Linked DNA regions of Neurospora crassa OR74A. The protein of the gene in region 1 purifies or fractionates together with the protein of each later gene. This does not show direct contact. Links are inferred from orthologs where the notes say so. Each region holds a gene or a part of one and is shown in the gene's direction. Other genes may lie near its edges.

Evidence for each region.
Region 2: the proteins of NCU06272 (region 1) and NCU07058 purify together in Saccharomyces cerevisiae (affinity purification with mass spectrometry; 3 studies listed by BioGRID). This does not show direct contact. The link is inferred for Neurospora crassa OR74A from reciprocal best matches to the Saccharomyces cerevisiae genes RRP5 and UTP14.
Region 3: the proteins of NCU06272 (region 1) and NCU01675 purify together in Saccharomyces cerevisiae (affinity purification with mass spectrometry; 3 studies listed by BioGRID). This does not show direct contact. The link is inferred for Neurospora crassa OR74A from reciprocal best matches to the Saccharomyces cerevisiae genes RRP5 and RRP12.
Region 4: the proteins of NCU06272 (region 1) and NCU06409 purify together in Saccharomyces cerevisiae (affinity purification with mass spectrometry; 3 studies listed by BioGRID). This does not show direct contact. The link is inferred for Neurospora crassa OR74A from reciprocal best matches to the Saccharomyces cerevisiae genes RRP5 and KRI1.
Region 5: the proteins of NCU06272 (region 1) and NCU01502 purify together in Saccharomyces cerevisiae (affinity purification with mass spectrometry; 4 studies listed by BioGRID). This does not show direct contact. The link is inferred for Neurospora crassa OR74A from reciprocal best matches to the Saccharomyces cerevisiae genes RRP5 and UTP7.
Region 6: the proteins of NCU06272 (region 1) and NCU03764 purify together in Saccharomyces cerevisiae (affinity purification with mass spectrometry; 3 studies listed by BioGRID). This does not show direct contact. The link is inferred for Neurospora crassa OR74A from reciprocal best matches to the Saccharomyces cerevisiae genes RRP5 and YTM1.
Region 7: the proteins of NCU06272 (region 1) and NCU07393 purify together in Saccharomyces cerevisiae (affinity purification with mass spectrometry; 3 studies listed by BioGRID). This does not show direct contact. The link is inferred for Neurospora crassa OR74A from reciprocal best matches to the Saccharomyces cerevisiae genes RRP5 and NOP14.

The regions. Positions count from the first base shown.
Region 1 is NC_026503.1:2,145,275-2,149,679, forward strand, and holds the start of NCU06272 (mito ribosomal protein S16), read left to right. Parts: upstream 1-1,532; 5' UTR 1,533-1,694; coding exon 1,695-2,153; intron 2,154-2,211; coding exon 2,212-4,405. Other genes in the region: NCU06271 (hypothetical protein), read right to left, coding at 1-204, 279-566.
Region 2 is NC_026506.1:332,104-336,155, reverse strand, and holds the start of NCU07058 (small nucleolar ribonucleoprotein complex subunit Utp14), read left to right. Parts: upstream 1-1,223; 5' UTR 1,224-1,480; coding exon 1,481-4,048; intron 4,049-4,052. Other genes in the region: NCU07057 (hypothetical protein), read right to left, coding at 321-443, 584-772. UniProt on the Saccharomyces cerevisiae protein: Involved in nucleolar processing of pre-18S ribosomal RNA.
Region 3 is NC_026502.1:2,739,559-2,743,765, reverse strand, and holds the start of NCU01675 (90S preribosome component RRP12), read left to right. Parts: upstream 1-1,335; 5' UTR 1,336-1,431; coding exon 1,432-1,503; intron 1,504-1,645; coding exon 1,646-4,207. Other genes in the region: NCU01674 (alpha-soluble NSF attachment protein), read left to right, coding at 1-35, 124-430, 504-918. UniProt on the Saccharomyces cerevisiae protein: In association with GSP1, required for nuclear export of both pre-40S and pre-60S ribosomal subunits. Required for the late maturation of the 18S and 5.8S rRNA of the pre-40S ribosomes and for maturation of the 25S and 5.8S rRNA of the pre-60S ribosomes.
Region 4 is NC_026503.1:1,301,226-1,305,382, reverse strand, and holds NCU06409 (ribosome biogenesis protein Kri1), read left to right. Parts: upstream 1-1,325; 5' UTR 1,326-1,434; coding exon 1,435-3,606; 3' UTR 3,607-3,802; downstream 3,803-4,157. Other genes in the region: NCU06410 (GTP-binding protein YPT52), read right to left, coding at 1-492, 553-616, 685-759. UniProt on the Saccharomyces cerevisiae protein: Required for 40S ribosome biogenesis. Involved in nucleolar processing of pre-18S ribosomal RNA.
Region 5 is NC_026502.1:3,252,880-3,256,753, forward strand, and holds NCU01502 (small nucleolar ribonucleoprotein complex subunit), read left to right. Parts: upstream 1-1,251; 5' UTR 1,252-1,401; coding exon 1,402-1,710; intron 1,711-1,775; coding exon 1,776-3,131; 3' UTR 3,132-3,321; downstream 3,322-3,874. Other genes in the region: NCU01503 (pre-rRNA processing protein Tsr1), read right to left, coding at 1-615, 783-891; NCU01501 (mitochondrial peptidyl-tRNA hydrolase Pth2), read right to left, coding at 3,509-3,834. UniProt on the Saccharomyces cerevisiae protein: Involved in nucleolar processing of pre-18S ribosomal RNA.
Region 6 is NC_026505.1:2,339,975-2,343,713, forward strand, and holds NCU03764 (microtubule associated protein), read left to right. Parts: upstream 1-1,461; 5' UTR 1,462-1,655; coding exon 1,656-3,119; 3' UTR 3,120-3,234; downstream 3,235-3,739. Other genes in the region: NCU03763 (DNA polymerase delta subunit 2), read right to left, coding at 1-647, 703-1,012, 1,078-1,127; NCU03765 (3'-5' exonuclease/helicase), read right to left, coding at 3,493-3,739. UniProt on the Saccharomyces cerevisiae protein: Component of the NOP7 complex, which is required for maturation of the 25S and 5.8S ribosomal RNAs and formation of the 60S ribosome.
Region 7 is NC_026501.1:6,090,399-6,092,910, forward strand, and holds the end of NCU07393 (rRNA maturation protein), read left to right. Parts: coding exon 1-253; 3' UTR 254-2,000; downstream 2,001-2,512. UniProt on the Saccharomyces cerevisiae protein: Involved in nucleolar processing of pre-18S ribosomal RNA. Has a role in the nuclear export of 40S pre-ribosomal subunit to the cytoplasm.

The DNA.
Region 1 (4,405 bases):
GGATGGTAACATGTTTGGAAGAGACGAAGATGAAGCTGCACCATCGAGACTGACACTATCCGTGCTTCTTTCTGTGTCAAAACGGCTAAAGTCTGCTCGCTTTTTTGATCTGAGTGTTCCGCCCATGATTGTTTCACGGGCGACTTGTGTCGAGGGTGTCGATTTGCGTGGCCATGAGCCATACCAACTCCGAGATTTCTGGGGCTGCGAGTCTGTTAGCATCGGGTGTAACAGGCATTAAACAGGCTGGATATGGTGGCTGAAGAGAAATAGGCTACCTCTTTCAGCCCTCGCTTGCTCGAAATAGGAGTTGTATTTGCGGTCGCATTGGGCTGGGATGTTGATAGAGCATTATCAGGTGTCGAGGTCGTCGTCGACGAAGGTGGGTTCGAAGCGGTCGGCATTGGAACGGCTTTTGAACGCCATATAGAGGCTGCTAGGCTCGAGGACGATTTCGGCGGCATATCGGATGTGGACGTTGAGGACTCGGTGACAGCACTACCATCCGCCGGCTCGGTTGGAGGGTTTGGTTTCGCCTTTTTTCGACGACCCATGGTGAAGACCATGGCGAGCAAGGCCAACAACCTAACAGATTCCAGTCCCCTAAGATTATAGGGCAAACTTTGGCCACATTGCCGTTTATTTCGTCAAGTTGAAAGGATCGAAAATGGGCATGCGACGAGTATTGCGTGGCGCCTATACCGTAGGGACAAGTCGACAAGCCGACGAGGCACCGCTCAGGCTACAAATCCGATGTGTACTTCTACTTACACTACACGGGTACCGCCGGCGGGGAGGGAGCGCTTTCATCCATTATCAAAGGCTCCAGCTCGGATGCATGTACGTCATTTGCCAGGTAGCGCACAGTCCAGGGGAACCGGATAGGTAACGAAGTACCTACACTTTATTACCTGGAGAGGGGGACCATGTGAACGAATGCTGATGTTATTACAAGTACCTACTTGATGGTCTAGTGTAGTATCAAATTCATTCTTCCATCAGACTAGAATGATATTCCAATACCGTACGATCCTAACATCAGACGACATGTTAAGTGTAGGTAGGTACCTCTAGACAATTGTACATCCCGCCTTGGAGAATTATATGTACCTCGCAATGGCCAATAGGTAACTCATTGATAGCACGTTCTCAGCAATCCCCTCTATCTCTAGGGTGTAGGTACCTAACGGCCTTCAGTACCCTACCTCTACTTACCGTGTACTTCCCTGCAACGCATGCGGCTGGCCCGTTGGCTGCCCGTCTCCGCCCGTGCAAAAGGTTCGGTACGTACCTGGCCATGAACGTGACAGCGTCCTGTCAGCTGACGCCGTGGCACTCGTGGACACAAGACAGGCGCTGCTAGTACCCCTACAGGGGAACCCCGCAAGACTCAGAACCCGCAACGAACCGACATGCACGCGGCCCGCGTACCTAGAGATGGCAGAATCGTAGCCGATGCTCACCGCATTCCTTATCGTTATCTGGCCACGGTGAACGGCGACGGACCCACCAAAAATTTTCGGCAGCGGACAGTGGAAGCGGCCTGGGTCAGTTTTTGTCAGTGCTTGTCGATTCATTCTGAAGTGTGAAGGCGGGCAAAGGGACGAGGGATCCAGTGCGGGTATCTCTCCAATTGCAACTCCAAACACATCCGTCCATCCATCAGGTCCTTTCTTTATACCCATCAGTTCACAATGGGTGCGCAAAAGCGCAAGGAAGGCCCGGGCGGCGCCCCAGTCAACAAATCAACACAATCAGCCTCCGAATCGAGACCGTCAAAGAGACCAAAGTCCAACGATGCCGGCAGCAAGGCGGGCGCAAAGACGGGCAAGCAGGGCAACAAGCCGGCTCCCAAGTCCGACAAGCCTGCTCCTCCTGCTCCTACCGCCCCGGCTACATCTACGCTGCTCAAGGAAGAGGAGCCAATGTTCCCCAGAGGCGGCGCCAGCATCCTGACACCTCTCGAATACAAGCAAATCCAAGTCCAGGCCAAGAACGACGCCCTGTTCGAGGAGCAATCCAGCAAGGCCACCGCCAAGAAGGCTGGTGAGAAGGAGGGCAAGCAGAAGAAGTCCAAGAAGAGGTCAAAGTCCGACGACACACCCGCGAAGCCCGATGCGGACGCCGTCAAGGTTGAAAGTCTCAACTTCAAGGTATGCGCCGGAACACTCATGGGTTCAGTCCTATCATCCAAGTACTAACTGTCCGCAGCGTCTGGTAAAGGGCTCCTTGGTCCTTGGTTCCGTCTGCGCCATCAACTCTCTCGACATCGCCGTTGCTCTACCCAACAATATTATCGGCCATGTCCCCATCACTGCGATTTCCGCCCCCCTAACAAAACGCTTGGAGGCCAGCGCCGGTAACGACAATGCCGAAGAGTCAGAAGACGAGAACGACAACGACGTTGACCTCGAATCCCTCTTCCAGATCGGCCAGTATGTCCGCGCCTACGTTGTATCGACGGTCGACGAGGCTTCTACACACACCCCTGGAAAGGCCAAGCGCCATATCGAACTCTCCCTTCAACCTTCTCTCGCCAACACCGGTATGGCGGAGCAAGACGTTGTTGTGAACAGCACAGTTATGGCCGCCATTGCCAGTGTGGAGGACCACGGTTATGTTATGGACATCGAGATCGCCGATTCGAAGTTGCAAGGTTTCCTTGCTCGCAAGCAGGTCGACAAGAGCATCCCCCAGGAGGCTCTGCAGCCAGGTGCCGTCCTCCTCTGTATCGTCACCAAGAACGCCAAGGGCAAGGTCGTTCAGTTGTCCACATTGGGTGAAACCATGGGCAACGTCGAGAACGTCCCTTCGACTGCTACCACCATCGACACATTCCTCCCCGGTACTGCCGCCGACGTGCTCGTGTCCGAGGTTTCCAGCCACGGAATTGTTGGCAAGATTATGGGATCGCTGGATGTCACCGCTGATCTGGTTCACTCTGGCGCTGGTCCGGATGGCATCGATCTTGAAGACACATACAAGGTCGGCTCTCGTCTGAAGGCCAGAGTCATCTGCAACTTCCCTACTGCAAAGCACCCCAAGCTGGGTATCTCTGTACTAAAACACGTTACCTCGTTGAAGCCAAAGACTGCTTCCAAGGACGACCAACCAGTGGTGCCATTGCAGGCTCTCCCTCACTCGACGATCGTGGAGAAGTGCACCGTTAAGCAGGTCGAGCCTGAGATCGGTCTTTACGTCGATGTTGGTGTCGAGGGCGTGTCTGGGTTTGTGCACATCTCCCGCGTCAAGGATGGCAAGGTTGATGCCCTCTTCGAGAACAGCGGACCCTATAAGGTGGGATCTGTTCACGCTGGTAGGGTTGTCGGCTACAACGCCTTTGATGGCATGTATCTCATTTCCTTGGAGAAGAGTGTTCTTGAGCAGCCATTCCTTCGCATCGAGGACATTCCTGTCGGTGCAGTTGTTTCTGGTGTGGTTGAAAAGATGGTGGTCAACGCCGCCGGTGTTGGTGGCCTTATTGTCAAGATTGCTGACGGTATCTCTGGCTTGGTCCCCGAGATGCACTTCGCTGACGTTCACCTTCAGAACCCCGAGAAGAAGTTCAGGGAAGGCCTGAAGGTGAAGGCGCGTGTGCTCTCGACTGACGCTGCCTCTCGCCAGATCCGCCTTACTCTCAAGAAGACGCTCGTCAATTCCGATCTTCCTGCCATCCAATCGTATGAGCAAATTGCTGTTGGCCAACAGGCGCTCGGTACCATCATCAACGTCTTGCAGCACGGTGCGATTGTGCAGTTCTACGGCAGGCTCCGTGGTTTCTTGCCAGTTTCTGAGATGAGCGAGGCCTACATTCAGGATCCCAAGGAGCACTTCCGCGTTGGCCAGACTGTCAGCATCTACGTCATCAGCTTCGACCCCGATGCCGCCAAGCTTATTGTTTCTTGCAAGGACCCATCTGCCTTTGGTCTTGAGAAGCAGTTGGCCCTCAAGAAGCTTCAGATCGGTGATGTGGTGTCGGCTAAGGTCACGCAGAAAACTGACGACGATGTTTTTGTTGAGCTTGCCGATAGCTCTCTCAAGGCCATCCTCCCCGTCGCTCACTTGACGGACAAGTCGGTCAGCAAGACTCAGTCTGCCCTCAAGAAAATTCACGTCAACCAGACTCTTGCCGAGTTGGTGATCTTGGAAAAGAACGAGGCTCGCCGTTCCATCATTCTCTCCCAGAAGCCCAGCCTTGTCAAGGCTAGCAAGGAAGGCAAGTTCCTTACTACCCTTGATGGTGCTCGCGTCGGAGATGAGGTTTCTGGTTATATTCGCAACATCACTGCTACGGCTGTCTTCGTCCAGTTCGGTGGCAAGTTGACCGCCTTGCTTCCCAAGTCTATGATTCCTCGCGAGGATCAGGACAAACCCGACTTTGGCATGTTCAAGTCTCAGTCTGTTA
Region 2 (4,052 bases), on another chromosome or scaffold:
ATGTCGAGACCATCAGCCTAGGTAGCAGCGTGGCGACTCCAAAGGCAGAGAACCTGGACATGTTCCAATTTCACATATGACCCAGAACAGTGGAGCTGCTAGGTGGTTGATTCCTGGTGGTCAGGTCATATAATGTACAGTGGAGAGTGGCTCGTGGTCCTTCGAACGGGTCTGTGTCGGCAGGCTTTCGGAATGTAATCAGAACTTGGGTATATATTGCGTTTGGTAGTTTGATAGTTGAGTGAGCCTCGCTCCATTTCCTCGCCGTGGTCTGGTATCGTAATGTCCTCCTCCTCCCTCCTTGAAAAAATGACGACCGTTTAGTCGAGACCGTTCTCCGACTTCCAGCGAGCAAGGTAAGTGGCGGGGTTCTTGGGGCCGAGCTTGTCGCCGGGGAACTGGTCGTGGACGGGGCGGATGGTCTTGGAGACGAAGGGGGTGAGCTTTGTTGTTGTTGGATCTTGTTAGCATAATTCTTTTTTATTCTCTTTTGTCCTCCATTCTCGGTCCCTCCCCTAGCACCAGATCCCCCAACACATCCCATTCCAACCCCAAACCCGGACGGAAATAGAGGACCACCCACCTTGAAACCGGTCAGGTCCGGGCACACATAGGTGCGGACCTTGGTGTAGTCGATCTTGTAGGTACCGTAGCTGGTGTGCGTACCCATGGAACCGGTGCGGTTACCCTTGTAGAAACCCTTGTTGACGTCCTTGGTGGTCAGGCGCAACTTGCGGTACTTGAGACCTTGGAGGATGCGAGTGGGCTGCATGGTGGGCTAGGAGGATTGCGCTTTGCGGGGCAACGACGACGGAGAATTGCTTTTTGTGGTCGGTGATCTGGGTGGTGGAAGCACCTCGCTGTGGTGAGGGTGGTTGAGGTGGGCGCAAGTGGGACGGAGACGGGATCCGCTTTAGAGTGTTGAAGATCCGGCGCACGCGACAGGAACGGAGACGGGACTCGGACTCGGACTCGGACTGGCGCTGGACAACACGGACGGCGACGGGCAACGGGCGACGGGCGACGGGGTTGGAATCGAGAAATCGCAAAGACGTCCGGGGCCGCGCCGGGTTGAGGTGGAGCCATTTCAGAAGTTTGGAGCTCAATTGAGCCAATGACGTGAGGCTGGGAGAAACAGGTACCCCTGTAGCCTGCTGCGGCCCCGCAAAATGGGTGGGTGTTGCGCCCTCACCGCCCGAAAATTATCGATTACAGAGGCGGCAGAAAAAGTTTCGGGGGAGCTTGTTCACTGGCAGAAAGTTGAAGGCTTGGTGGGAGTTGCCGTTGAAGGGACCTGACCACTTCGACCTCCAGGACCCGTGCAGGCAAAAGTTGGACATTGACATCCATCGATTCATTCCATCCAACCACTGGACTTCGTCGACAATCTCATCACCCAATTTTTGCTTGCTCGACCTCGAACTTAATTGACTGAATTACCTTCCGACTTCCAATCAGTCAATTCTCAAATACCAGCAAAATGCCCGGCCGTCAAGCCCACGGCAGGCCTCTAATGCCCAAGTCGGGCGGCGGAGGGCGTCCCAAGCACAGAGTCAACAACAAGACTGCCGATAGGAAATCCAGAAACAACGTCCTCGACGCCTTCGCTATTGCCGCCGAACAAGTCCCCCAAAAGAAAGCCAAGGGCGTCCGCACACGAGACCTCGACGAGCCCGAAGAGCGCCCCCAGAAGAGACAACGAGATGGCGACGACGAAGACGATGAGGACGGAGACGAGGATGAGGAAGATCTCGAGGACGCCAGGCCACAAAAGAAGAAGGCCAAAAACAGCGACGATTTCGAAGGCTTCTCCGACGGTGGCGAGGACAGCGATGGCGAGGAGTGGCACGTTGGTGTAGGCGCTGATGACGAAGATTCCGAACTCGACTCTGATGAGGCCTTTGGTGAGAGCGACGAGGAAAAGTTCGATGGCTATGCCTTCAGCGGGAGCAGCTCCAACAAGAAGGGCAAGAAGGCGAAGAAGGGTGGAAACGACAGTGATGAGGAGGAAGAGGACGAAGATGAGGACGATGACTTGGAGTCGCTCGGTTCCGACGCCATCGATCTCGCCACAGCACTGGATCAGTATGAAAGCAGCGAGGAGGAGGAGGGCGAAGAGGAGTCAGGATCGGAAGACGACGCGGACAGCGAATCGAGCGAAAGCGAAGACAGTGACGACGATATGGAAGACCCTTCCAAGCTCGACGACCTCCAAAAGATGATCTCCGGGTTTGCGGGCGACGACAACGACGACGAGGAGCAATCAGGCTCGAAACCAACAAACAAACTCAGTCTCTCAGATCTCGGCCTCCTTGGCGTCCAGGACCCCCACATGAAGAAGTCTCTCAAGCTCATGAACAAGGAGGAAAAGGCCGCCAAGCCTGGGCAATCCAAGAAGCTCGACATCCCCCTCGCAAAGAGGCAACAAGACAAGCTCCTCCGCTCCGCCGCCTACGAAAAGACCTCCGAGACGCTCGAGCGCTGGATCGACACAGTCAAGCACAACCGCCGTGCGGATCACCTGGTTTTCCCCCTCGCGCAAAATGCCCACGACGCCGGCCTCGACAGTCAAGAACTCCTTCCCGTGACCAAGGCCACGGCGGGTACCGAGCTCGAACAGACCATCTTGGCCATCATGGAGGAATCCGGCTTGGGACCCACTAACAAGCCCAAGAAGGAGGACCAGGATAACGTCGAGGAGATTGCCGCTCGCAAGGGTCTCTCGGCCGCTGAGATGCAAGAAATCACCCGTCAGAAGCGCCGCGAGCGTGAGCTGTTCTCGCGCGAGCAGGCCCGCCAGAAGCGCATCAAGAAGATCAAGTCCAAGGCGTACCGTCGCATTCATCGCAAGGAGCTGCTCCACGACGAGCAGGAGATGCATGATGCCATGGTTGAGGCGGGAGAGATTGATTCAGAAGAGGAGCGCGAGGCTCTGGACAGGAGGCGAGCCCTCGAGCGCGTCGGTACTCGTCACCGGGACAGCAAGTGGGCCAAGCTCGGCAAGAAGGCCGGTCGCGCAGTGTGGGACGACAACTTCCGCGCTGGGTTGACAGAGGCTGCTCGCCAGAAGGAGGAGCTGCGCCGCCGGATCGAGGGACGCAGAAAGGGCGAGGAGGATTCTGAAGACAGTGGTTCCGACGATTACTCTGCCGAGTCTGGCGATGAGAAGAAGAACAAGAAACGGTTGCTGGAACAGCTCGAGCACGCTGCTTCCTACGCGGATGGCGAGGTCGAGTCGGGGCTGATGCAGATGAAGTTCATGCAACGCGGCGAAGCCCAGAAGAGGAAGGAGAACGATGAGATGATTGCGCAGATTCGCCGAGACCTCGATTCCGACTACGACTCTGACGATGTCGAAGAGACGGACATCGGTCGGAGGCAGTTCGGTATGGGCAAGACGGAGATCATACTCCCCGGCCAGCAGGCTGCTCAGAAGAAGAAGGAGAAGAAGAACATCACAAACGACATGTCCAATCTCCAAGTAACACCACAACAAGCAGCCACCACCCAAGTCGAGGACACTTCCCTCGCCGCCTCCGTCGCCGGTGCCTGGTCCAAGGCTCCCCAAGAAGGTCGCAAGAGCACCAAAAAGGCCGCCAAGGTCTCCGTCGGCGAGTTGGACCTCTCCAACGCCGCCATGCTCGCCTCCAAGCCCAAGCCCAAGTCCAAGGACGCCGCAGCAGCCAAGGACAAGAAGTCCTCTGCTCCCGCCACCACCACCCACGACGACTCCTCTTCCGACGACGAAGAAACGATCCATCTCCCCCTCGCCATCCGCGATCAAGAACTCATCAAGCGTGCCTTTGCAGGCGAGGACGTCGTAGGCGACTTTAACCGCGAAAAGGCCGAAGTGGAGAAGGAAGACGACGACAAGGAGATCGACAACACGCTTCCTGGCTGGGGCGGCTGGGTAGGCGAGGGCATCTCCAACCGCGAGAAGAAGAGGCACACAGGCCGGTTCGTCACCAAGGTGGAGGGCGTCAAGAAGGAGAAGAGGAAGGATTTCAAGCTCAAGGGGGTGATTATCAAGGAGGGACGGGTTAAGAAGGTTT
Region 3 (4,207 bases), on another chromosome or scaffold:
ACAAGCGGCCAACGCTTTCAGGTTGCAGAAGTCAAGTACGTCATCACAATCATCAACACCCACGATGCGCTTTCGGGCCATATGAACCTCGCGGCAAGTCCTAACGTTCTGCCCACTACCCAGACACCGAGGCCGGCAAGTGTTTCGAGGAAGCTGCCAAGATCTTCACTGAGAAGTTGAAGGAGCCCAACGATGCGGCGAATGCCATGTTGGACGCCTTCAAGGTCTATAGGAAAGATGCCCCGGATAATGCTGTGCGCTGCGTCGAGGTTGCCATCAAGCAGTATACCATGGCGGGGAACTTCCGGAGAGCTGCGTCGCACAAGGAGAACCAGGCTGAGGTCTACGAAAACGAGCTGCAGAATAAGCCAGAGGCTATCAAGGCCTATACAACTGCGGCCGAGTGGTATGAGAACGACGGTGCTGTCGCGTAAGTGATTAATGCCCACGGCTTTTGCGCCATGTTACGAGTCCAACAGGTCGTTCTAACCAGCTGTGTGTAGTCTTGCGAACAAGCTGTGGCTCAAGGTGGCCGACCTCTCTGCCCTCGCGGGCGACTTTTTCGCCGCTATAGAGAAGTTCGAGAAGGTTGCGGAGGCTTCACTCGGCAACAACCTGATGAGGTACTCGGTCAAGGAGTACTTCCTCAAGGCCGGTCTCTGCTCCTTGGCGACCAAGGATATGGTCACTGCTCAGCGTAACATCACCAAGTATGCCGAGAAGGACCCATCATTTACGGGCCAGCGCGAATACCAACTCCTGGTTGACTTGTTGGAAGCAGCCTCAAACAACAACCTCGAGATGTTCCAGGATAAGCTTGCCGCGTACGATAAGATGAGCCGGCTCGATGACTGGAAGGCGGCTGTTCTTCTCCAGATCAAGAACAACTTTGAGGAGGCAGACAACGAGTTTTCATAAACAGGGTGGAGGAACTTGTGATATACAGCCATTTATCACTTTCTGGTTTCCTTCTTTCCTTTTTCTTTTCTTTGTTATCGTACCGGCGTTTTCTGGTTGGGAGGGGGATGAACTGTCATATCATGAATACGGTCATCGACGCTTTGGTGATTTACGGAAGACCCAAACAAACCTGCTGTCTGGGGTAGAGATGGGCTTAAAGCAATAGAAACTTGTTCCTAGTGGGTACGCGTTGTTCGTACGATCCAACATGAATTGTTGTATCTCATAACCTTGATGGCTGCCCAAGCGAAACATAGGTACCTCTATAAGCATGAGATGCCATAGCTAACCCTGGAGTTACAGTTGGGAGCCGCTTCGGACTAGCGCCAGACCCTTATCAATGACAGCGGGTGGGGCGTGCGCGCCGATAAGCGACAACTTTTCGAACTTTTCTGTTCTTCATGACATCGATTTCAGCACTGCGAAGCGGCTTGCATTGTCCCACTCCAGCGCCATTCCATCACATTCACGATGGCTTCTTCTCCGTCTTTGCAGGAGAAACTGGACAAGATTCGGTCTCCGAATCTCCAGAGCCAGAAGCAGGTAAGCCAGAGTCATGATGCATCTCTCCTTTTTCCATCTTTTGTCTTCTGCATCCCTACCCTCTTCCTTCCAGCCTGCCATTGCAGTGGCCTGTCGCAAGGCCGCCTCCATCGTGGACAATGGACCCTGACTTGAGCCACAGACTGCCAGTGTCCTCGAGGCTATCGAGGCCACCTTCAAGGAGCGCAATACACCCGCGACTCCTACCGCCTACTTCGCTGCCCTTCTCAGTCTACTCAACAACGAAAACCTCGCGACCCCCGTCGTCTACCTCCTCGATGTCGTCACTCCCTTCGCTCCAAAGCCTATTCTTCAGGCCAAGTTCACTCAGATCATCACCATCCTCGCGCCAGTACTATCCCTCCCCGATGCCGATGCTCCCCTCATGAGGGCCTCGATCGGCTCTCTCGAGAGCTTGCTCCTTGCTCAAGATGCGACACAGTGGGAGCTCGGTACCGCCCAGATTGGCCCCCGCCGGGCTGTGGCCGGCCTCCTCGCCCTTGCCCTCGACCCGCGTCCCAAAGTCCGCAAGAGAGCCCAGGAAGCGCTCAGGAACATCCTGAAGAACCCTCCGCCGAGCCCGTCTCTCGACCACCCCGCCGCCCCCATGTGCGCCGAGACAGCCATGCAGAGCCTCCGTCTTGTCGCTGACAAGGCCGCCGCCCAGAGGAAGGAAAAGAAGACTACCGACTCTACCCACGATCCCGAGCTTATCCACGCCTTGCAACTCGTCAAGGCTGTCGCCTCTGGAAGCGGTGGCTGGCCCAGCAAGAGCATTGAGTCTTTGTGCGAGCTCCTTCTCAGCATTGCCCGGACGGGCAACGAGCACATGAGCATGGCTGTCTTCGAGATCTTCGAGATGATGTTCGAGGGCATGGCCGCCGACGAGGTTGCCTCCGCCAAGCTTCCTCGGCTGCTCGAGATCATCAGAGAGCTCCGTCCCGCGCCCAACGATACCCAGCTTCTCCCTCCCTGGATCGCCATTCTGTCGAGAGCCTACGATGTTGCCGGTCAGATTTCGCCCGCCGAGACCTTCCAAGAGCTGGTCGATCCTTTCACTCTGGTTGCAGGATACCTCGAGTCCCAGCACAAGAATATTCGCGTTTCGGCGTCCGAGTGCTTGGTCTCCTTCCTGGCCAACTGTGTCCCCAAGGAGGCCATCCTTGAGCCTTCGATTTTTGACGAGAAGGTCATTCAGCAACTAGTCAAGGTTGTCGAGGGCCTTCTCACCGTCCAGTACCAAGCTGCCTGGATGGAGACTTTCAACGTTCTTGGTGCCATGTTCGATGCCTTTCGGTGGCAGGCTAACCCTTACCTCCTTTCCGTCGTCAAGAGCATCGGCGAAATCCGCGGTAACGATTCTTTCGCTGGAAAGCAGGAAGCCGACGAGGTCCTTGGCAAGGCGATTCGTGCAATGGGTCCTGAGGCGGTCTTGAATGTTCTTCCCCTGAACCTCGCGAAGCCCGTCAAGGGTCAGCCTGGCAGAGCTTGGATGCTTCCTCTTCTCCGTGACTACACCTCCAACACCAATCTTGCACACTTCAAGAGCGAATTGGTTCCTCTCAGTGCTATCATGTTCCAGCGTGTGATTGAGCACCAGGGCGAGAAGAACATTCACATCAAGATTTTCGAGACTGTTGTTCAGCAAATTTGGTCGATTCTTCCCGGCTACTGCGACCTTCCACTTGATCTTGTCGAGGCCTTTGACACAGGCTTCGCTGAGATGTTGACCAACCTTTTGTATGAGCAGGTTGACCTGCGCTTGGATATTTGTCGCGCCCTCAGGACCGTTGTTGAGTCCAACCAGGCCATCGCCACTTCCGATGAGGTCGATGACCTCATTCTCTTTGGCAGGGTCAGCAAGGAGCAGGCGCAGAAGAACTTGGAGTACCTCGGAGCCACCTTTGCAGCTGATTTCCTCGCTGTTCTCTTCAACGTCTACAGCACCACTCTCCCCCAGAAGCGCGGCCCTGTCCTCCAGACCATCAACGCCTACCTCAGCATCATCCCTCCCGCGCGTCTTACCGAGACTTTCGACATGGTGTGCGAGAAGCTCGCCGAGGCTCTTCAAGAGGCTGTTGAGAAGAAGCCCCAACAACAGCAGAAGGCCGATCACATGCCTTCTGCCGCGCACACTCTCATGGACCTGGTCGTTACCATGTCTATCTACCTCCCCCGTGCCAGCTTCGAGGCTCTTTTTAAGATCGCTTCAGTGGTCATCTTCAAGGATGATGACCCTCAGCTGCAGAAGAAGGCTTACAAGCTCATTCCTCGCTTGGCGGATTCCCCCATCGGCAAGGCCGCCCTCGAGGAGAGACATGGCGAGCTCCAAACCCTGTTCCTGTCCAGCTCTGAGAAGGTGTCGGCACCTGCCCGGAGAGAGCGCCTGGCTGCCATTGCTGCTCTGATTCACTTCATCCCCAACGATTCCCTGCACTTCATTCCCTCCATTCTTTCAGAGGTTGTCATTGGCTGCAAGGAGCACAACGAGAAGGCTCGCACTACCGCCTTCGACCTTCTGGTTCTCCTTGGCCAGAAGATGGTTTCTGCTCAGGGCTCTTTGATCGATAACAGCAAGGTCCCTCACATGCCCGCGGATGCTCCTGCGGCTACCGCCTCTATTGAGGAGTTCTTCACCATGGTCAGTGCCGGTTTGGCTGGCAGTACCCCCCACATGATTTCGGCCTCTATCACTGCCATTACC
Region 4 (4,157 bases), about 840 kb from region 1:
CGGCATGCGAGGCACCAGGCCCACGCGCGCTCTTCAACGACGTCTCGGGGATGGCGTTTGCAATGGCTGTGAAAACCTCAGTAACGTTATGTCCGGTCTTGGCCGAAGTCTCAAAGAACAAGAGACCCTCCTCCTCGGCGTATGCCTTGGCCTCGTCCGTCGAGATCTTGCGTGCGTCGCCCGAATCCTCCGCATTGTCGTCGCCACCTCCGGAAGCCTCGGCAGAGCCGGCCGAGTCGCTGGTCAGATCCAACTTGTTGCCCACGAGCGCGATAACGATGCCGGGAGACGCTTGTCGCTGGAGCTCGGCGACCCAGTGCTTGGCCTTGATGAGTGAAGTAGGTTTCGTCAGGTCGTAAACGACAAGGGCGGCTTGGGCGTTGCGGTAGTACATGGGCGCTAGAGAGGCGAAGCGCTCCTGGCCTGCTGTATCCCAAATCTCGAACTTGATCGTCCTCGTGGGCAGGTTGCACTTCTGGGTTAGGAAGGCGGCTGCAAAAAAGTGTCAGCTAAACTGGTGCAAAGAAAGTCGTCATGACTTCAGGAACTAACCTCCTATCGTGGGCTCCTTGTTCTCTTGAAAGTCATTGTTGACGAATCGGAGGACGAGCGACGACTGTGGAACGATTTGTGTTAGGCATGTGTTTCTCGAGCATGGTGGTTTTGGAGCAGAAGACTGCGCACCTTTCCGACAGCAGCTTCACCTAGAAGCACCAGCTTGACGCTGCTGCTCGGCTTGGGCGCGTTCGTATCGGCCATTGTCGTTGAAGTGTATTGTTGCTACAAATCTGGGTGGATGGGTTGTGGAAACGGCGGGGCTTGCGGCAGCGAGCAACTACAGCAAGGGACAATAGCAAGAACGGCTATCTTTGATAATGCGACAGCGACAGAGCAGTGCAGTTGTGGAAGGGAGGACGTTGGGTGGCTGCCTGTTGGAAGACAAAAGATGTCTGAAGATGGATCGTTGATGGGTTGGGAATCGGAGTGAGGTGTGACGTGATAGGTAGACGGCAGCAATGAGAGTAAATGGATGGATGGAGCTTGTTCATTCAGTTAGTTCCCTTCCAGTCGGAAAGCCAGGCTCGCCGGGATCCAGCAGGCATTCGGTCGGGCCACGGGCAGGCGTCGCATGTCCTCGATGTCCCCCCTCGCTTGCGCTGTGAGTGGACTCCAACTTCCCCTCCATGCCAAGACTCATAGCCACATATGTATGCCTTTGTGAACCGTGCGCAATCTCGTGGCAGGCAAATTGGACTACAAGTACGTACCGCCAGCTGTAGCCCGGGGACTGGACTTCGAAAAGGTCCCCACTAAAAAGTTCACTTCGAAAATTTGGGGGCGTCAAAGTCGCAACGAAAGTCTTCCATCCTTTATGCGCCAGGATTGACTTTCCACCCCTTCGCCCTAGCATCTTCAAATCTAGCCCACCTCAAGATGCCTCGCCCAAAGTCAAAAGCGGCGAAAGCCAGAGTCACAGGCGCCAATACCGATCCCATTGTGCCTAGAAAGGGTCTGTTCGACGATGATGCCTCCAGCGAAGACGAGCAGGACGGCGGTGCCACCCTCGGTACCGCTGCCGACTTGAAGATCAATGAGGAGTACGCCCGCCGTTTTGAACACAACAAGAAGCGCGAGGAACTCCACCGTCTCGAGGAAAAGTTCAAGTCCAAGAAGGAAGGTGGGCTAGGCGAAGACGAGGACGAAGAGGACTCTTCCGAAGACGAGACCGAAGACGATGAGGGCTTCCTTGTCACCGAGGACCTCGACGCCGAAATCAACGCCACTCTAGAAGCTATCAAGAAGAGGGACCCCCGCATCTACGACAAGGAGGCCGTTTTCTACACGCCAATTGACGCCGACGGCCAGCCCGTCAAGGAGAAGAAGGAGAAGCCCATGACCCTGCGCGACTACCACCGCGAGAGGTACATGGCCGGTGACATCGGTGCCGACGAAGATGACGCGCCCAAGCCCAAGACCTATGCCGAGGAACAAGCCAACCTGAAGCAGAACATTCTGTCTGAGATCAATGCCGCTGTCGGCGAAGACGAGGAGTGGAGCGACGACGACGCCTTCATCAAGCCCGTCAAGAAGGAGGAGGCGCCTACCGAGAACGGCGTTCACCCGTCGCGCGCCAAGGCGATCGATCTTAACGAGCTCGACGTCAAGAACGCTGACAAGAACCCCGAGGAGTTCCTTTCCAAATTCATGCAGTCCAAGGCCTGGGCGCCCGCCGACGGCTCGCGCTGGGAGGCTTTCGAGTCGGACGAGGGTGAGGACAACTTCCCCGAGATGGCCGAGGAGTTCGAGCACGCCTACAACATGCGGTTCGAGGACCCCAACAAGAGCAACGAGTTGCTCAAGACGTACTCGCGTAACCTGGCCAACGCCAAGTCCGTCAGAAAGGAGGAGCTCACGGGCAGAAAGAAGCAGAGACAGCTCGAGAAGGAGCGCAAGGAGGCCGAGAAGAAGCAGCGCGAGGAGGAGCGTGCTCGTCTGCGCCGTCTCAAGATTGACGAGGCGGCCGAGAAGCTATCCAAGATCAAGAAGGCTGCCGGTCTCACCGGCAAGGAGCTGTCCGACGAGGAGTGGATGAAGTTCCTCGAGGACGCCTGGGACAACGACCGGTGGGAAGAGGAGATGCGCAAGCAGTTTGGCGAGGAGTACTACGCCGAGGGAGAAGGCGACGTGTCCGGCAGCGACGAGGAGGACGACGAGGACAACGAGGACGGCAAATCCAAGAAGAAGAAGAAGAAGCTGCCCAAGAAGCCCGAGTGGGACGACGATATCGACATCAAGGACATCATCCCCGACTTCGACGACGCTCCCGATGTTGTCCTTTCCGATCTAGACCTCCCCAAGCCCAACGGCGACGACCAAAAAGCCGAAGACGAGGACGCCGACCTCGGCTCCGACCTCTCCGCCGATGAAGATGAAGGCCGTCCCTCCAAGAAGCGCAAGACCACCGCCGACATCAAGAAGGAGAAGCAAGCCGCCAAGCGGGCAGCCAAGGCGGAACTAGCCAAGCTTGAAGCTTTGGTCGACACCAAGATGGAACTCGACACTCCTCGCGCGCTTTCCGCCCCCAAGGACAAGAAGTACAAGGAGAACCTGTTCCCGTTCCGCTACCGCGAGACTTCGCCCGTCTCGTTCGGCATGACGGCGCGCGATATCTTGTTGGCGCCCTCGGACGCCGCGCTCAACGAGTTCGCCGGCCTCAAGAAGCTGGCTACTTTCCGCGACGCCGAGAAGAAGCGCAAGGAACGCAAGAAGCTTGGCAAGAAGGCCCGTCTCAGGCAGTGGCGTCGCGAGACGTTTGGCAAGGAGTTCGAAGCGACTGGTCCTACCTTTGGGTTCGAGGCGCTGGACGAGGATGGTACGCCCCTTGGCAAGAAGGATGAGGGTGCGATTAAGCATAAGAAGAGGGGTGAGAACAAGGACAAGAAGAGTGGCGAGAAGAAGAAAGAGGAGAAGAAGGAAGAGAAGAAGGAGGAGAAGAAGGAGATTGCTGCTGGTGAACGGGGAGCGGATAATATCATCGAGGGAGAGAGGAAAAAGAAGAGGAAGAGAAGCAAGAACAAGAAGGACAGTGAGAAGGCTGAGGCCTAGAGTGCTTCGTTGCCACTTCGGTTGTCAGTATAGTTGGACAAGCAGTGGCGGTCACGTTTGTTTGTTCTGTTTAGGGTTTTGTATCGTTTAGTCTATTTTAGAAGGCGTATTGCATCGCGGTGTTACGGAGAAATCATACAAAGTTAGAATTAGCTATACCAATCCTCGATGCTTCCTCTCATCTCGGAGTTCATCGTCGTCTTCGCTACCTACTCAGTTACTCTGCATGACACTCAGATGGTGTTCAAGTTGTCTTCATGCTTTCCTGAAGAGAAGAGACACTCCCCTTCTCCCCCCTCTCCCCTTCCCCCCGGAGGCGGAGCGCCCGTCCTGTTACTAAAATCCGTCATCGCCACCCTTTCCTCTCTTCTATCCTCTTTTTTTTTTTTTTTTTCTCTTTCTTGTGCACTTTCGACCTTCCTAACATCTGGCCCTGTCTTCCAGTTGTTACTCTGTTGGCCACTACAACCAACTCCAGCCTCTTCTCATATTGTTGGCCACTTTGGCAGAATAATCAGGAAGTCAAACGCCGATGCCCTTCGTCCAGGTAG
Region 5 (3,874 bases), on another chromosome or scaffold:
TGCTGCATAGCGAGCGCATGAGGTTGGAGCATTCCTGTCTGTTGTCGAGGCTGAAGACCTTATCCTGTTCGGGGTGGAAGTGGGTGATGTAGGACTTGAGAGACGAAAGAACGGAGAGTCTCTGCTTTTGGGGCTCGATCTTGTTGAGGCCCTGGACGACGGTGAAGAGGGTAGAGAGACCCTGGCTTTCAACGCTGCGCAAGATCAGCTCGCCAAGTTCATCGACCTCTTCCTGCGCGGACAAAACGAGAACGACATAGTCGGCGACTCTGGCAGCGTCCAGGCAGGCGGTAAGGTCGCGCTTGAGGGGGAAGTATTGAAGCTTCTGCTTGAATCTGTCGACGGGAACGCGGAATGCGCCCTCGGGCACCTCGGTCTCGATATCAATGCTGGCGTTCAGGCTCTTGATGGCTTCGGTAGCGTCACCGTCGCTGCACAGGGGGATAACGGCCACGTTTCTGGGGGCACCATCCTTGCCGGCGAAAATGGAGGTCTCCTGGAGATGTTCCTTGTGTTTTTGCAGCTGAAGCTGCTTGTTACGGTTGCGACGGTCGAACTTGGACATGACTTGTTGATGGGGGGTCTTGCGCACACCTCTCTCCTCGGCTACCTTGCCTATAGAATGTTGAAAGTATTAGCGCTGTGTGGACGTTGTCGACCTCTTTATATGCAGCTGTATATTCATGTCTGCTTGGGCTTGGTGCGCCAAAGTTGGGTGAAGTAGAGCATAGTCCAAGGCAACAACCTTGGCATGAGGCACGGCTGTTATATGCAATCCGTACCTTTGGCAGCATTCCGGAGAGCACCCTTGGTAGAATGGCGTGACTTGAAGGGCTTGTTCGACGCCTTGGTCGTCGGCCGATGCGAGTGGCCGCTCACGGCGCCGGGCATATTGCTGGAATCGCCGCCTGCTTTGAACCGAAAAGGGAGCGAGTTTGACGCCAGGATGTTGGACCTGGGGAGGCGATGAAGAGAAGAGGCTGGGGGGTTGGGACTGAAAAGAGATTTCGAGAACCTCTCTGGTCACAATCCGTCTATCGAGTATCGAATAAAGTGATGGGGACAATGTCAATGGCGGGGCACTCGTTGCATTTTTTTGAGTTGTGCGAACATGGGCGGCCGTCTCGCTACTTATCTTATCGGACTCTTGTACGCAGTGGAGCCAATGATCGCTGCGGAACAGCTGCCCCATCCAACTTTTTAGTGGGTCCGGCCCCAAAAAAGTTGTCGAGGAAAGGAAACATTCAAAGTGCCAAAGCGAGGGACAGACACGGGCACACCGAGAAACCGCCAGACCAATTCCATATTCAGCCCCCATCCATATCCCGTCGCCGATCCAACTGTCCTAGTCCACCACACATATTACCCATTCCCATTGTGTCGCGTCGACCCATTGGCACCATGGAGACTACAGACAGGGCCGAAATCTCCCTCTCGAGGGCAGAGCAGCCCAGCGGCGCCGTTGCCATCAACAACGTCCGAAGCGAGTTCCGATCAAAGGCCGAGGCCAACAAGATCCGCAAAGTCAAGGCAGCAGAGAAGTCGTACGGCCGTGGTCGCAAGATCGATGTCAAGAACGTCAAGGACAAAAAGCTCAAGCGCAACCTTACCAACCTCGAAGAAAAGTACCAGACGGCCACGCTAAAGGCCAAGGAGGCCGAAATCCTTCTCGAGAATGCCGGCGGTTTCCTCGAGGCTGAACATGAGCTTGTGAGTAGCCATGGCTTGGGAGTTTATAGCCTCTTGCGCGATACTAACCGCGCTGGTCACGATAGGAACGCACATACAAGGTTCGCCAGGAGGACATCGTCAGCGAAGTCAACATTGAGGTCGCCCAGAAAAAGTTCGACTTGAAGCTCGACCAACTAGGCCCTTACATTTGCGATTTTTCGAGGAATGGCCGGGATCTGATTCTGGCAGGACGAAAGGGCCATGTCGCTACGATGGACTGGAGAGACGGCAAGCTGGGCTGTGAGTTGCAGTTGGGAGAGACCATCAGGGACGTCAAGTGGCTACACAACAACCAATACTTTGCCGTCGCTCAGAAGAAGTACACCTACATCTACGACTCGCAGGGCGTCGAGCTCCACTGCCTAAGGAAACACGTCGAAGTCTCCCACCTCGAATTCCTCCCCTACCACTTCCTGCTGGCCACCCTGGGCACAAACGGCCAGCTCAAGTACCAGGACACATCGACCGGTCAGATCGTCACCGAAATCGCAACGAAGCTGGGCACACCCGTTTCCATGACACAAAACCCCTGGAACGCTATCCTCCATGTTGGTCACCAGAACGGCACAGTAACGCTATGGTCGCCCAACTCGTCAGAACCTCTGGTCAAGCTCCTTGCCCACCGTGGTCCCGTACGATCCATGGCTGTCGACCGCGAAGGCCGCTACATGGTGACAACAGGACAGGACTGCAAGATGGCCGTTTGGGATATCCGCATGTTCAAGGAGGTCAACAACTACTTTACCCGGGCGCCCGCTTCGTCCGTCGCCATCTCAGATACCGGCCTTACCGCTGTCGGCTGGGGCACCAGGACAACGGTCTGGAAGGGTCTCTTCTCGAAGGAGAAGCCGGTACAAGAAAAGGTCCAGTCTCCCTACATGACGTGGGGCGGTGAGGGCAAGCGCGTCGAGCGGGTGCGGTGGTGCCCCTTTGACGATGTTCTCGGTGTCGGCCACAGCGAAGGGTTCTCGTCCCTCATCATCCCCGGCGCCGGCGAGGCCAACTTCGACGCCTTGGAAGTCAACCCGTACGAGACCAAGAAGCAGAGACAGGAGGGCGAAGTCAAGCAGCTGCTCAACAAGCTCGCGCCCGAGATGATTGCGCTCGACCCCAACTTTATCGGCACCCTCGATTTGCGGTCGGCGAAGCAGCGGGAGGCGGACAAGGATCTGGACGCCGGGCCGCCGGATCTGGAGGAGGAGATGCGCAACCGGGCCAGAGGCAAGAACAGCGCGCTCAAGAAGTACCTGCGGAAGCAGAAGAAGAAGAACATTATCGACGAGAAGCGGCTCAAGGCCGAGGAGATGTACAAGCAGATGCAGGAGAAGAACGGGGAGAGGCACAAGGAGAAGGTGGCCGAGCTGGGGCCTACGCTGGCCAGGTTTGCGAGGAAAGAGTAGAGCATGAAAATTGGTGGGAGGGGTGGAAGAACAGAGTACATGATGATACCCAGAATCAGTCACTTAATGAAACCAAAGACGGTCAGTCGACCGGATGCTGTGCTGATACTATATTTGTTTACTTGATATGCTTACGTGTATGTGGAGACTCATCTTGTTGCTTGATAATCTATTCAAAAGTAAAAATCAAGACCTACGCCTTACATGCATCAAAGTCTTTACCTGACTGTATCGCTCTCTAAGCCCAATGATACTTTTATACCGTCCCCGTTACGCCATTTTTCGTGCTTCTCGTCCTTCTCTTTGTATCTACGTTCATGCTACCGTCAACATAACACACTTTCTCCATCCTCTCCCCGCTACAAAGTCTTCCCCCTTTACAGCAACTTCAAGTGACCAGTGATCTCATCAACCAAGCTCTTAGGCGCCGGACCAACGCCCAGCACGGTCCTGGACCCAGAGGCAATCTGCGTACGGCCAGCATCCTGAATCACCTCAGCAGTGACGCCCAAGCTGCGCGCCTTGGCCATCAGCTCCAGCATCTCATCCTCGGTCTTGGTTTGCACGGCGATCTTGGCCTGGCCGTTGCGCTCCCACTGACGGAGCAGGCGGGCCGACAGCGACAGGGGCTCGAGCTGGGCGGCAGAGAAAAGGCGCTTGTAGCAGGCGAGGGTGGCGTGGGAGCATTGAGCTGCGATTTTGCCTGTTTGTTTTCCACCACAGCAACACGTCAATAAACCGAA
Region 6 (3,739 bases), on another chromosome or scaffold:
AGATCACTCAGAAAGCTGTCCAACAGTTGGGAGGGAACCGGGTTGTAGGAGCTGCTGTCGTAGCCGTATTTTTTGATTTGTGGTTGGAACTTGTTTGTTACGGTGGTGGTGTCGAAGGCAGCCGCGGGTTTGGCCTGTTCGGCCGCCGTCGTGGAGATGGAGTTCCCCGCTATGATGAGGCGGGTGATGTGTGAGAGCTCGTCGCGTTGGACGGAGGGATCGAGCGCTTCGCCGAGGAGATACTCGAGAAGCAGGTTGAGTTCCATGGCGTAGGAGGTGTCGGCGTTGGAGAACTCGAGGCCGGAGACGAGGGCAATCTTTTTAGAGGAGGGCTTGTGGGACTGCCTGGAGAAAGAGGCGTCCATCATTTCGACGTCTTCGGAGGAGTCTGCTTCCTTTTTGCCTTTTGAGAGCGACCAGCGCTCGGGCTGTGGTGGTAGTTCGGCGAAGAGGAGGTCGATGACTTCGAATTCGCCGTTGGCGTTCTCGGTGCCCATTACCGCGACGATGCAGCCGGTCACCATGAAGTGGTTTTGCAGAGCGTTGCCGACAAGACGGATGCGGCCGGAGTCGTCTTCGAGCATTACCGAGTCTTCGCCGTTGCCGGAGTAGTAGTGGCCGACCGAGGTGGGAGCGGAGATCCAGCGCTATAACATCATTGTCAGCTGCCTGGTGTCCACCAAAGGATAGGCTGAAACTCACATCCTTGGAGACATCCTCGAGGATTGAGGGCTTTAGAGGCATGTCCATATATACTGTTCCAGCTACCCAGCATAGTTCTCCCTGGCGAACGTCTAGGACACGCTCGACCCTCTTGACCTTCTCACCACCAAGCACTGTTCCCTCCCAAGCGGCGCTGGCGGCTGCCTCGACGGCGGGCCTGATCTTTGTAAGACGCAAAAAGTAAATATCGGCATATTGTTGTTGATAGGGACGGGTTTTTTCGAGTTTGAAGGTATGAAGGGGCTTGTAGTTGGTGATCTGGCGCTGGAGAGCCTCGGGCGCATCGCCTCTTCGTGAAGTTGGGTTGTTAGCTGATGATCGCCAGTGGAAGATGGATGATCCACTGCTACTCACGAGGGCTTCTGTAGCAAACCGCTACCGAGAACTTCGTCCAAGGTGACCATCGTATGATTGATACTGACAATGGCTCAAGATGTGAGAACGACAAAAGCAATTGGTGACTTATTCATGTGCTGCCCGACTCGGAAACTGACTTCAAGGGACGAAACTCGACGACGCGCTTGACAATTTCGAGACGCGTAGCTCCAGTGGGTTCAATTAAGCCAGGTACATGACCGGTACTACTCTATACTAGTATAGTTTACATAGTAGCGGCGCTTCAGCACTGTGACCCTCACAGGAACCGTCGGCCCCGCTATAAAGTTCCGATAAGATAGGGGAACGTGGGGTAGCTAGAACACTCCAGACCCCTGCGCTGCAAGGCTGGACAGAAAAAATTGGATGGAGTCTTGGATTTGGCATGGCCTTGTGGTGTCCGCTGCAAAGTAAACATCCACACTCTCCTCCCGACGACGCCTGTTTCACGGTAATCTAAGCCAATCTGACTTTTACTTGTCAATTGATAGTATTCAGCCTGCCCATACCGAACAGCGACTACCCAATTCACATAATATCACAGCACAGGCACCGCCATGGACCACCCTACCGAATCAGGCGCCCAGGTCCGGGTGACCTTCACCACCCAGGAGGAGGACATCCAGCTCGATGAGAGCAAGCGCCAGCTCCTTGTCCCCGCCGACATCCGCCGTTATGGCCTCTCCCGTATTCTCAACTCCGAGTCCATGCTCGACACCAACTCGATCCCCTTCGACTTCCTTGTTAACGGCAGCTTCCTCCGCGGCAGTCTTGAAGAGTACCTCAACGCCAACGGCCTCTCGCTCGAAACCAACATCACCCTTCAGTACGTTCGCAGTTTGATCCCACCAACATACGAGGCCAGCTTTGAGCACGACGACTGGGTCAGCGCCGTCGATGTTCTTTCCGCTACTTCTCCCGCGGGCCGCTGGTCCGGCGACAACTTTCAGCGCGGCCAAGATCGCATCCTCTCCGCCTCGTACGACGGTCTCCTCAGGATATGGGACGCCTCTGGAAATGTGATTGGCACCTCGCCCTCGGGCAGCCACGGTGGTCACACTGCCAGCATAAAAGCTGCCAAATTCCTCTCCAGCACTCAGATTGCCTCGGCCGGCATGGACCGCACAGTTCGCGTATGGAAGTACACCGAGTCGGGCGAGTCGTACGAGCGTCGCGGCGAGCTGAAGCCCACTCTCGAACTGTACGGCCACACCTCCTCGATCGACTCGCTCGAGGTTGACGGCGCCTCGAAGCGCATCCTCACTGCCTCCGCCGACGGTTCCATCGGTTTCTGGACCACCTCCAAGGCGTCCGCGCCCGAAGTCTCCGATTCCTCGCTCCTTCCCGGCGCCCACACATCCAAGCGCCGCAAGCTCGCGACCTCCGTCACCGCCGCCCAGCGCGGCCCGCTCGCCCTTATGAACATCCACAATGCGCCCGCCACGGCCGCCGTCTTCGACCCCCGCGACCGCACCGTTGCCTACTCTGTGTCGCAGGACCATACCGTCAAGACCATCGACCTGACCACCTCCAGCGTGGTCAGCACCTTCACAACCTCGCATGCGCTCCTCTCTCTCGCTGCCCTGCCGCGCTCCTCGGCCTCGGCGCCCCTTCTCGCCTGCGGCACCTCCGCCCGACACATTACCCTCGTCGACCCGCGCACCAGCACGGCCGCGACGAGCGTCATGACGCTGCGTGGGCATGCCAACAAGGTGGTCAGTCTGGCGGCGAACCCGGAGAACGAGTACTCACTGGTTTCGGGCTCGCACGACGGGACGTGCCGGATCTGGGATTTGCGGTCGGTCCGGCCAGCGACCAAGGACGAGGGCGGCATGGGCAGCGTCAGCGAGCCCGTGTACGTTATTGATCGCGAGAGCCAGCAGGGCAAGAAGAAGAAGAGCAGTGTGACGGGCGACGGGTGCAAGGTGTTCAGCGTGGTGTGGGATCAGCTGGGCATCTTCAGCGGTGGTGAGGATAAGAAGGTGCAGATTAATAAGGGGAGGGGTGTGAATGCCGAGTAGAGGAAGAAAAATGGTCGGGAAAGAGGGGGTTGTTGATGAAGAGAAGGGAAGCAGCAGAACTTGGTTGTTATGATATACCCAGGATAGATAAAATGGAATGTGAATACTGTACAGGATATTTTTGTGATATCTGCAGGGACGAGGCCAAGAACAGCCGTGACAGATTCTTTCTGAACTAAACTGTACGCGAAAACTGTACTGACCTGGAGCATAGACTAGATGGCTTCTGCAGAGCCCAGTCAGGTTGTTCTGAGGATTATACAAGGTTCATCTACCAACGTCTAAAAGTAGCCAAGTCGGTCTCGGGGTATAGGTGCATCGTCGACATCTTTCCTTTCTTGTTCAGCACTCGACCAGCAGCTTGAGAGCCGGCTCAGTGACTTCTCGACATCTTCCTCAACCTCTCCACCTCTTCCTCATCAACCGTCGCTTGACTGCTGCTATTGCCCAGCGTCAACTCCTCATCAAAGTCCAAATCCCCAGCCTCCAACGCAGCCTTCATCACATCCTCCACGCTCTCTTCCTTCGGCTTTACCTCCACCTCTGCCTGTGTCTCATCTACCTCCTCACCCTCAACCTCCTCTACCTCACCTTCCTGCTCCTGCTCCTGCCCAAAAATC
Region 7 (2,512 bases), on another chromosome or scaffold:
CCCAGACCGCGAGCGCGCCGAGCTGGCCAAGCTGCGGGCCGAACACAAGAAGGAGCGCAAGGGCGCACTCAGGGAGCTCCGCAAGGACGCGGCCTTCATGCAGCGCGAGAACCTCAAGGTCAAGAAGGCCAAGGACGAGGCGTACGAGAAGAAGTACAAGCGCTTGGTGGCGGAGATCCAGGGATCGGAAGGCCAGGCGGCGAACGAGTACGCAAGGGAGAAGGCGGCGAGGCTCAAGAAGAACAAGAGGTAAATGGCTACTTCTTAGAAGGTTCGGGGGTAGCAGTCGGAGTAAGTTTGTGGTTGGCCGTGTTGTTGTTAGTGCCGTTGTTGTTGCTGTCATGTATACATCATCATCAGCGTTCAGTGCAAGTGCAATATTTGGATCATGGGTTGGAGATACCATGTCTATCATATCATCTACTAGTAGGAGTTTTAAGATCATTTCATCATTTGCCAACCCTCAGTACGTACATTATCTACTCCTGATGTTGTTTACATGTGATGTTTACCCAACCCACCAATTTCATCATGGTACTCATCCCTACCTGGAACTTTCAACACTTCAACGAAACTATGTAATTCCGGTTATCGCTATTGATGGCGGAGCCTCATCTGAAGAAAAAGAAAAGAAAAAGCAAACAACAAATAACAAGAAAATGACTGAAGACAAGGAAACACAGCAGTATGGAGTTGCCCTTCGGTCGGCGTGTCCGTCCCGCGGCTATAATTCAAACAATGCCGTTCTTCAATCACTTCCCCCCCTCGTGCCACCCATACTGTACCTCCAGCGCTGGCCCAACGACTAACTACATAGTTAGTTACGACTTACGAACAATATATAAGCGACCTAAACAACTAACAACCGCCGCACGTTATCGTATAACAATATCACTGGACCCCGAAAACCCCTAACCAGCGAAATCGGCGAGAAAGTATTTCCCAGGTACTCAGGTCCCGGGCGGATGCTTGATCAGTATGTATTTTGCCCAGTCTGAACTTTGTAAACTTTCAAAGACAATCCACATCTCTTTGTGGTGGTTTCTAGACGCTATAGGCGCCGTAGACGATGGTGTTGTGTTCATCGGGGAAGTCGGGCACTCTACGACTCTTTTCATTCTTCTCTCTTTCCTTTGCTACATTCTCAATAGCACGCGCCTTTTCTTCTGAGGGGAAGAGGCAAAGAGAATCATAAGCTGATGACCTAGATTCCGCTCCAGTTGGTAGTTGGGTCGATCGGTTGGTTCCGAGTAAGATCAAGATTCCCGTCCCGTCGTCTATGAGGGTCCCCGTGTCTCCCCAGCTCCAGGTTTCCGGCGGCCGCAAAATGAGCCTCACGCACCTCTCAGTTGATCGAAGGCTGGAAGAATGGATGTCAAGGCGACATGTGTCATTGCGATCTTGACATCGATCGCATCTTTGAAGCCATGGATGACTATCGGTGATCCCGCTGTTCAGGACCGATGATTTCGGCTTGCTGTTTCAGTTGGCTGCCTCTAACTATCACCACGATCATGTGTCAAAGCTCGAAGAAGGAGGTGAAGTAATGAAAACAAAAGAAAAACAAGAAAAAAAATCCCATAACACATCAAAAAGCCAATTCGACTCCGTTCCAGCCTAGGCGCCCTCACAGATACGGCCCCCAAAAAGACAGATATGTCTGGTCCACTCCAACTGTATTCTCATACACAGCCTCTTCAAGCGCGCGCTTAGAGGCGCATGTGGATATGATCACCCCAGAGGCCTCCTGATGAGGCTCTTCCTCGGCAGTCACTCACATGATACTTTGTCAAAACGATGTATTCTTTCCTACTAGAAATCCCATCAGGGTTCACTTTTCGGCTCCCTTTTCCGAGAGCATAGTAGGTCTCAAAAGCGGGTCGCCGGGCTGTGGAAGATTGAGGCTGTGTGCAGTGTTGTTTTGACGTGGTGAGTTTACTAGTTACCTAGTGGGTTTCGAAACATCTAAACGTGCCCATTTCCGCGTATCAACAAAAATCGCCCCCACATCATTGACCGAAATGTTTGGGCAAAGGGGAGGGGACTGGGTGGAAACGGAAGTGGCCAAAGAAAGACAATGTGGCCATGAGATCCTAACGAGTTGGAAGCCATTCACGATCCGAAAACGACGAGTGGTCAAGGCTGAGCCAGAAACACAAAAAACTCCACGATATTTTTCCACAATGAGGTAGATGGACAGATATGGGTGGAAATCATGCCTTCTGCGACCTGTTGAGCTGAACAGTTAATGACATGTCGTTCCAGCCTCACCTCACGTTCATGCTATCAGACATTGTCAACTCTCTTGTTGACCGAATAGACAGACGGCTGCTGCTACTGCTGCTGCGCCTCTACATATATCCAACCAAGCTGGGATCGACCAGCTTAACCAATCCCTGGCTTGCAGTCAACGGCGAAGCCATTAGCGGCAGAGTGAGGCGCGGATACTCAACGGGAGTCGGGAACCGTACCACTAGTAGGGCGATTGCCGGGCGAATTATGACCGCCACCA